Linked DNA regions of Rattus norvegicus. The protein of the gene in region 1 interacts with the protein of each later gene in a biochemical or structural test. Links are inferred from orthologs where the notes say so. Each region holds a gene or a part of one and is shown in the gene's direction. Other genes may lie near its edges. The genes, in order: Tjp1 and Jam3.

Region 1 (4,477 bases):
CCTTCGTCCCACTCCCTCCCTTCCCCTTCCTCCCCCCAAGCCTGTCTGTCTGTCTGTCTGTCTTTCTGTGTTTCAAAATCTGGTTAGTTTGTGTTAAAAAAAAAAGTTTTATTTCCAGGCAAGTCTCATTAAAAGAAAGTTTTGCTGCTCATGATTGGAAGGTTGAAACAAAAGCTGGTGGAGTTGGCAGTTTTTATCTATGGGAATGAACACAGAGGTCCTTTCTCTCTCGTCCCTTATTCATTTGGGAGGAAAGTCAATCTAGTTGCTTTGAATTTAGGGAAGCAGGCTTTCTTTATAGCAGTTCATTTTCTAAAGTGGCATTAATCTTCAATTAAAGTTGCTCTGGGAAAAGAGAAATAGGCCTGTGGCACCTTGATGTGCATAGTCTTGTGATGCTACTGATAACCATGTAACAGAGACAGAGTGTACTGATGAAAGACAGTTACAGTGCTAGGTGATGAAGGAGGATCTGAATACGCCATGCCACAGTCACTTCACCACCCTGAAAGAAAAAATTTTAGAAAGAAATCCATATTAGGCATAATAATACATTTATTAAAAGTAATGTTAAGAGAGACTATGTTACTTTAAACTACCAAGAGCAATTTACCCAAATACAAAGGAAATTTGTTTTTAAATTTGTAATGTTTAACTTTCAGGTCATCTTATTATTTCCATGAGAGATTAATGGTAGGAGATAAAGTTCAGCTACCCCGTGGTCTGGCTAGGATCTACACTGAAACTTAACATTGATTGTTTATGGTTCTAGGGGGATTGGGGCCTTGAGAGTTTTGTTTTAATTTTTTTAGATGCATGTTTATGATATGCGTAACAAAAGCCTTTTTCTGTATGAACGTGAAGTTAGAGGAAGTAATTCTGACATAAAACTGAAACTGAATAGACTAGTATTGCTTGTGACTTTAAACCTATAAGAGGTCTAAATCCTTTTCGGGAACATGTATTTACAAATACTGAGTTCAGAGGTATTTTACCTTTTCTTGCTGAATGCAACATGAAAAATGCTCTTAAATGTCCACTTGGATAATTTAAAACTGTTGCAACTTTTATTCTTGTCTGTTTGATGTTAAGCATAAAGTTGCTGAATTTGCTAGCTTTAACTTGTTTCTGCTGTGTTAAGTGTAGAGTGGCATCTGTCCAAATTAAGTTAAAACAAAGGGAGTTCCTGTGTGTGTGGTTTCCTATTTCTTAAAAACAAACAACCCTTTCAAAGTTATTAACTGGTTTCCAGAATATTTTTAATATTAGCAGTGTAAGTCTTGGTGTTTTATTGTACTGAATTGTTTCCAGAATGCCTTCTTTCACTTTATTAAAAACTTATTTTTTTCTTTTAAAGGTAACGCTTTGTTTTCTTTTCCTTTATCAGAGCACAGCAATGGAGGAAACAGCTATATGGGAACAGCACACAGTGACGCTTCACAGGGTGAGTGTCTGCGGCAGTAAATAATCTGGGTTATAATTCAGGATACTGGCAGCTTTGAAAACAATAGAGGAAAGCCAGATGTCAGGAAGCCAAAAGAAAGGGGAATTTTTTTCTATATTCGTTTGTTTAAAATTAGATTTATAATAAATTCTTCATTAAGGTCAGAAGTGAACGTGATTACTTTTTCACATATCCTTTGGTTATTTCTTGTATAGTTGTTATTTTTAATCTCTGAAAATTAAGTGGTTCTTTTGCTTAGAATTTTGAATGATCAGATAAAAGATTATATATTAAATTATAAACTGATTGTATATGCATATTTGTATGCTTGGGGCTTAATAATAAGTTATATTCCTACTAAAATCTTGAAAGAGGGCTTAGGACATGGCTCAGTTGATGGAATGCTTGGTTGTAGCATGCAGGAAACCCCCTTCTAGCCCCAGAATCACATGACACTCTCATCTGTGAAAACCTGGCAGTCAGAGGTTCGAAATTATCCTTAGCTACTTAGCAGGTTGGTATGTATATTGGGAAGAGGGCACATTCTTTTTTTTTTCCCTTTTTTTCGGAGCTGGGGACCGAACCCAGGGCCTTACGTCTGCCAGGCAAGCGCTCTACCACTGAGCTAAATCCCCAACCCCAAGGGCACATTCTTGAAAGACAGCTGTTCATTTGAAGCATGTACAACATAAACATGGCAGACAGTCAGGTCAGATAATTAATAAACCTAGTGGAAATAAGAGCTTTGAAATCATACTGGTCTTTTGCTTTTCTGGGGAAGAAATGGGGAAGAAACCCAACCTGTGTTATAAACCATAGTGTTTATGTATTTAAAGTTAGGCTAGGAGCTGGAGACAAGGCTCAGTAGGAAATAGTGCCTGTTCTTCAAAAAGACTCAAGTTTAGTTCATGGTACCATGTTTGGTTGCTCACAACTGTCTGTATGTAACTCCATCTCCAAAGGATCTGATAATCTCTTCTAGCCTTTGCAGGAACCCTCACACACACACAAACAAAAGCCGTAAGGCATTAGCTGTGTGTGCTGTAGCACAGCTCAGCCTGTTTTACAGAACAGGTTGCAAGATGGCCAGGGCTATGTAGAAAACCTTGTCTCAAAAAAATAAAATTAATTAAAATACTATTGGGCTAATGACACCAAGTCATGCTTTATCTGCTAAGTATGGCTCCTTAAATTTGCCTTTTTTCTTCTGTTAAGCAAAGCTGACTACTGATGGCTCTCCTACTTAAATGGTGTATGCCTCACATACGGTTATTTCTGAGCAATTGACAAGTGGATGTGGGAAAATTATGTTCCTGAACACTTACTCCTGATTATTTCATGAGGATTTGAATCTATACATTGTGATAGTTAATTATTCAAATGAAGTTTTCATGCAGTTTTTCTGTCTCACTAAAGAAAAATCATTTCAATAATATGTATCTTAACTTTTAATTCGTAAAGCTGAAATAACTTTCAGTTGTTTCATTGTGCTTAATACTTACATTGTGCTTGTAGCGTCTGCATCAGGTCTCTATGAGACATAAAATAGTTTTAGATTGCTTGACTATCATGTTGGTAGCATTTTATGTATTACGTTTATTTTTCTTAATACCGTTATCTTTTTTGATATTGAGAAGTATAATTTTTATTGGTATAATTTATGTAACAGTAAATTCATATTCATCTAGTATACAGTTCTCAGTTTTGACATAGTTACATAACTAATATCCCACTTAAAATGTAGAATTACAGGCTGGAGAGATGGCTCAGTGGTTGAGAGCACCCGACTGCTCTTCCAGAGGTCATGAGTTCAATTCCCAGCAACCACATGGTGGCTCACAACCATCTGTAAAGAGATCCGACTCCCTCCTCTGGTGTATCTGAAGACAGCTACAGTGTACTTATATATAATAAATGAATAAATCTTTAAAAAAATGCAGAATTACTCTATAACCTTAAAACTTTCCTTCAAATCTCTTTGTGGTCAATTCTGCCCCCTTATTGAGCCACTGATCTCTCGTTTTAAACTTTGACCTTTTCTGGACTGTCTTATAAATGGATTTGTGTAATACTTAGCTTTTTGAGACTGACTTCATATGCTTAGATAAATGCATTTGAGACTTCTCTATAATGTTGTTTATATTGATATCTAATTACTGCTTATTGCTAAATTCCACTCCACTGTATGAGTGTATAATAGTTAATTCATGGTACATTTAGGTTGTTTACAGTTTTTGTTGAGTATGAATAAATCCACGTTAGTATATAGTTTTGTATGAACATAACTTTTCATGGTTAAATAGGAACAGAATGACAGTGGGTTTTATGCTAGTTGTTAATTGTATAGGGCATGGCTGACTGGATATGCCTTCTCACCAGCAATGTATGAGTCAGTCTTCTCCACAATTCTTGATATTATTGGTTTTAATTGTTGAGTTTAGCTATTCTAATAGATGTCTAGTAGTATCTCATTTTGACTCCTTTAGTTTGTATTTCTCTGTATATTAATGCTGAGCACCTTGTAATGATCAGTCTTTTATTGCTGAGTTGTCTGGATTTGGAATCATCTAAGAGACAATATGAGGCATATCTGTGGATAGGTTTAACTGAGGAGAGAAGACCCTCCCCATGGATAGTATTATTTCTATAGTCTTGTGGAGTACATGGTCTCTCTCCACTTCCTGACTGAAAAGACTACTGGCTGCATTATACTCCGATCACCATGCAATTCCTACTATGCTAGCCTGTATCCTTTCTTATGCCATCGACTAAAATAACTCAATCCTCCTCCTAGTAAGGTGATTCTTGTCAGATATTTTGCCACAATGATAGATAACTAGTGCACACTTCATTCTCTATTCTTAAGTGTCCCAGTGATTCTGGGGGTTGAGCCCAGAGTCTGTCTGTATAGTAGGAAATGGTGACTGCTGAACCACATAGCCAGTCATATTGAATATGTTTGATGTGCTTGTCATCTGCATTTTGTTTGTTTGTTTGTTTGATTGATTGATTAATGTTTCTGTACTTTCCTTT
Region 2 (4,417 bases), on another chromosome or scaffold:
GATGGCTCAGCAGTTAAGAACACTTGCTGCTCTTCCAGAGGACCCAATTTCAGTTCTCACCACCCACACCAGGCATACTATTTGTTAACTCTGTTCCTCTGGCCTCTCTGGGCACCTACAATTATTTTCACACACTCACATGCAGATATACACACATACATATAATTAAAATTATAAAAAAAAATCCAGACATGGTGGCGCTTACTTCTAATACTAGCACTTCGAGGCAGAGGCAGTTGGACTTATGAGAATTTGAAACTAGCCTGGTCTATTTAGCCTTCAAGTTCCAGGGTGGCCAGGGCTACATAAATAATACTCTGTCAAAAACAAAACAAAACAAAACAAAAAACAACAAAAAAATGGGAGACTGGGGAGATGGCTCAGCGGTTAAGAGCACTGACTGCTTTTCCAGAGGTCCTGAGTTCAATTCCCAGCAACCACATGGTGGCTCACAACCATCTGTAATGAGATCTGATGTCCTCTTCTGGTGTGTCTGAGGACAGCTACAGTGTACTTATATAATACATTTTCAGAAAAAAATTAAAAAAACGGGTAAAAAACCCTCAAGTGACAAGAATTACACTTGTACTGTGTAGGACACACTATTGGGGACACCATTAGGCTTCAGGTCTACCAGAGAAATGAATCATACTTATATAGCATGTTATTATATTTATTTAGTGGGTATATCTTGCTAATGTTTATTCAGATTTCAGCATTTTCTCCTTTCATTACATATGGTATCAGGGGCCCTACAGGTGTGAAAATACTACTGTTTTAAAAAAAAACTATATGGCCATATCTTTATTTGTAAAATAATTTCTCTAATAAAAAATGGTTTATTTTATTTCATGTGCATGAGTGTTTTGCCTGCATGTATGTATGCACACCACAGACACGTTTAGTGCCGTCAGAGGTCAGAAGAGGGTGTCAGATTGCTTGGAACTGGAGTTAAAGATGGTGTGAACCACAATATGGGTGCTGGGAATGGAATCCGGGCCGTTGAAGAGCAACAGGTGCTCTTCTCTGCTGAGCCATCTCTCCAGCCCCATCATGCCTAAATTTTAATGGAGTAATCCTTCTTAGATCTGTAGCGATAATCTACAGTTTCATAAATCTACCCCGCTTCCTTCCCAGACACGCTTTTTAATTCTCCTCCGGCTAAGTTCATTGACAGAGGTAGCACCTGGAAGCGCTGAGCATCGTTGCATCCATAGCAACCAGACTGGAGCTTTCTCGGTCACTATGGTGCCGGCTAGGCCGGGCCGCGTGGTCGCTATGGAAACTGGAGGCGGGTCGCAGGGTCTAAGCAGTGTGAGCGCATGCGCACGAGGCCAGTTCTACGCTCCAAGCCTGAGCCCCTCACATTCCCCTCGACATGGCGCTGAGCCGGCGGCTGCGACTTCGCCTGTGCGCGCGGCTACCCGACTTCTTCCTGCTGCTGCTCTTCAGGGGTGAGTTGACGCTTCAGTGCGGCTGGGAAGTGTGGTCTGTGACGATGGGGACAGAGCGACCCGGGCCGCGGTGGAATAGCGGTTTCTGCGCCCAGGACTCCAGGTCCGGCCGAGGAGCTGAGGGGTGGCCTCTGCCGGAGCGTGGCGGGCGCGGCTCAGCGGGCTGTCGGGTCCGGTCTCAGGCTGACCCGCGTGGATGCGACTGGTCCCGGACAGGGACACGGCCCTCTAGAAGGACCGTGGCAGCTGCCTCACGGGCTCTAAAACTTGCTGGAGAAAACACCCCATCAGTATTGTGGTACCCAGAAGTCGTGGACGACGAGCAGCTAGGGAAGCTCCAGAGGCCTGTCCTCCCGGGAGCTGCTGGGGTCAACAAAGAAGCTGAACTGGGCAAGGCCCGCCATCCTTGTGCGGAGATGGGGGCTGCATAGGGATAAGCACCTTTGTTGCAGCGTGGTGGAGACCCTGACTCCCAAGTAGCACCAGGGTCATTTTGATCCCAACACCCTGCTAAACTTGAAAGTTCTGCTCATTTCTTTCTAGTGGAATTCCTGGGAGACACTATTTCCCTGGTCTGTGGGGCAAAAGCACTGTAAAGTTTACTTTGCAGTTAACTTTCCATAAATACCACAGGGCACTTTGAAGCTATTATCTCAGTTCTTAAAACAGCTCAGTGAAGTGGGTTCACAAACTTGGTTTGTGAACCCAATTTTCAGAGGCTAATAGTCTTCTTAAAAATTTTTTTTTTTAATTTCAAAACTGAGGGGCCACACAAGTAGTGCCAAACTTAAGGTTGCATAAGACTCCACTCCTTACTCAGAAGGTAACCCAACCCGGACCACTCCTCAACCCTTGGCTTGTTCCTTGGATTTGTTGCCGCCCACGATGCTCTCCAAGATATACAAATTAATACACCAAAGCCCTGTTGGGAGGCGGGGTGGTCAGGCAAGAAAACAAAGCGGTTTTGTGTTTGATGCTTATTCTAGTGGGGTGCGCAGAGTGGTGGTGGAAAACAGGGGTTCTGGTGCTGAAATATTGGAAACAGGCTTCTGTAGTAAGGATGACCCTTAGCCCGTATTTGTGACCATATATTTTGCTTGATTTAGAAAATTTAAAACCAAATGCAGTTGGGAGATAGAGCTGAGCAGAGGCTAGCCAGGAGAGAGGAGTGTCAGGAATGTCCTGCTCCCACAGTGTCCGTCACACTGACATGTCCTGACACGTCCTATTCACAGACCAGAACAACTCCCTATTGTTGAAGAGATTTGCTAACATGAAAATCTGCAGCTTTTATTGGAGAAACAGTTTGCAGTTGACTTCAGGGATACATTCCTGCTTGGTGATTTGTTAGTAAAAAGCAGAAACTGCTAAGGGCTCATTGCGGATGTTACCCCTCAGGTGGGGCTAATTTGGTGGGTTTCTTGGTATTGAGGGAAAGGAAAGAGTTTCCTATTATATAGCTTTTAGCTTACGTATACCTGAACGCTGTAGGTACTCTTGGGACTGGAGAGAGAGCTCAGTGGTTACAGAGGGGTAGGCCGGCAGAGGACCCAAGTTCTGTTCATAGCACCCAAGTTGGTGACTCAAACAGCAAGGGGGTCCAGCCTCAGAGGATCTGACAAGCTTTTCTGAGCTCTGTAGGCACTCACATTCATACATGTATATGGTCCCTTCACACATAAGTAAAAGTAAAACCTTTAAAAACATGTCATCTTCATAGGGGACAGCTGTGCCTTTTTAATTTTTAGGATTATGCTTTTCACTTGGTATCATTACCGTTTCCGTTTAAAATTGCCAGCTCCTGCCTGCTGTGACGAGTGCTTGCAATCCCAATGCCGTGAAGGCCGAGGCAGGAGGATCACTGTGAGCTTTTTTATTCTGGGATATACAGTGAGTTCTAGGTTACCCTGGGGGCAGAGCGAGACCACAAAAAATTTACAAGTTCCAAGTTGGATGTGGTGGCACATGCCTGTAATCCCAGGATTTGAGGGGCAGAGAGAGGCAGGAGGACCACTGCCAGTTCTTCAAGGCCAGCCTAGACAGAGACCATATTTCAAAAATTAAAAAGAAAAAAAAAGGTAATTTCAAACATAGTAAACATTCCATGTAATTGCTTTTTGCTGGGCTGTATTAGGACAACTTAGTGTGAATTATTTCATTTTGATAAGACTGTGTTACTGGTTCTCTTGTTCTGTGTATGAAGAAACAAGCATGCAGAGGTAAACTTAGAAGTCTCTAGTCTGTGCCAGTTCGGTCTTTGGCCGCTTGTTTATTGTATTCGACAGTGGCAATTCTTATTATGGATCAGTTTAGGGAAATTATCACGCGTTCAAAGACGGACTGTTTGTATATGTATAATATTCCTTTGTGAGATCGGTGACTGGCATGATTCAGCCTTACAGATGATATGCCTCCTCCCCCTTTTGAGTGCTTATGTAGCAAGTCAGTAACTTTCCAGAATTTTTGGTGTGCCAGAGAGAAGACTTTATTTAGAACTGGAACAACAGTTTGTACTCTTGAAGACAGTTTGCGAGATGAAACGTACAGGAATTCCGGACCAACTATTCCAATTCTTCCGTTTACTTGGACTCCTGAACCATGGTTTAGAGTGGCCTACATGGATCGATTGATTGCTTGATTGAACTCAGGGCCCTGAACAGATAGCCTCTACCCTTTTACGGCATTTTAATTCCTTTTGATTACTTGATTGTCACAGTCATTGGCAGGGTCGTACCTGTACTTTTAAGAGAAAGAAAGGACAGCTGATCCCAAAACTTGGATCTGCTTCTCATCTTCAAATGACTTGTCTGTGGTCACAATGCAGGCTGAGGAGACCGAATGGGTGTCTGCTAGAGATCTTAGTCATTAAGTAATTGCAGTATTCACAGTGCTCCATCTCCTATGCTCTGTGGAAGGCGCTCTCAGGGCAGCCCCCAAGGAATAGCCCTATGTCCACTTTCTGA

The links.
Region 2: the proteins of Tjp1 (region 1) and Jam3 form a complex in vitro, tested with the Homo sapiens proteins (2 studies listed by BioGRID and IntAct, with this or other methods). The link is inferred for Rattus norvegicus from reciprocal best matches to the Homo sapiens genes TJP1 and JAM3.

What each region holds. Positions count from the first base shown.
Region 1 is NC_086019.1:128,322,269-128,326,745, reverse strand, and holds the start of Tjp1 (tight junction protein ZO-1), read left to right. Parts: upstream 1-1,385; 5' UTR 1,386-1,387; coding exon of another isoform or gene 1,388-1,396; coding exon 1,397-1,444; intron 1,445-4,477. UniProt on the Homo sapiens protein: TJP1, TJP2, and TJP3 are closely related scaffolding proteins that link tight junction (TJ) transmembrane proteins such as claudins, junctional adhesion molecules, and occludin to the actin cytoskeleton.
Region 2 is NC_086026.1:33,825,396-33,829,812, reverse strand, and holds the start of Jam3 (junctional adhesion molecule C precursor), read left to right. Parts: upstream 1-1,361; 5' UTR 1,362-1,378; coding exon 1,379-1,454; intron 1,455-4,417. UniProt on the Homo sapiens protein: Junctional adhesion protein that mediates heterotypic cell-cell interactions with its cognate receptor JAM2 to regulate different cellular processes. Plays a role in homing and mobilization of hematopoietic stem and progenitor cells within the bone marrow.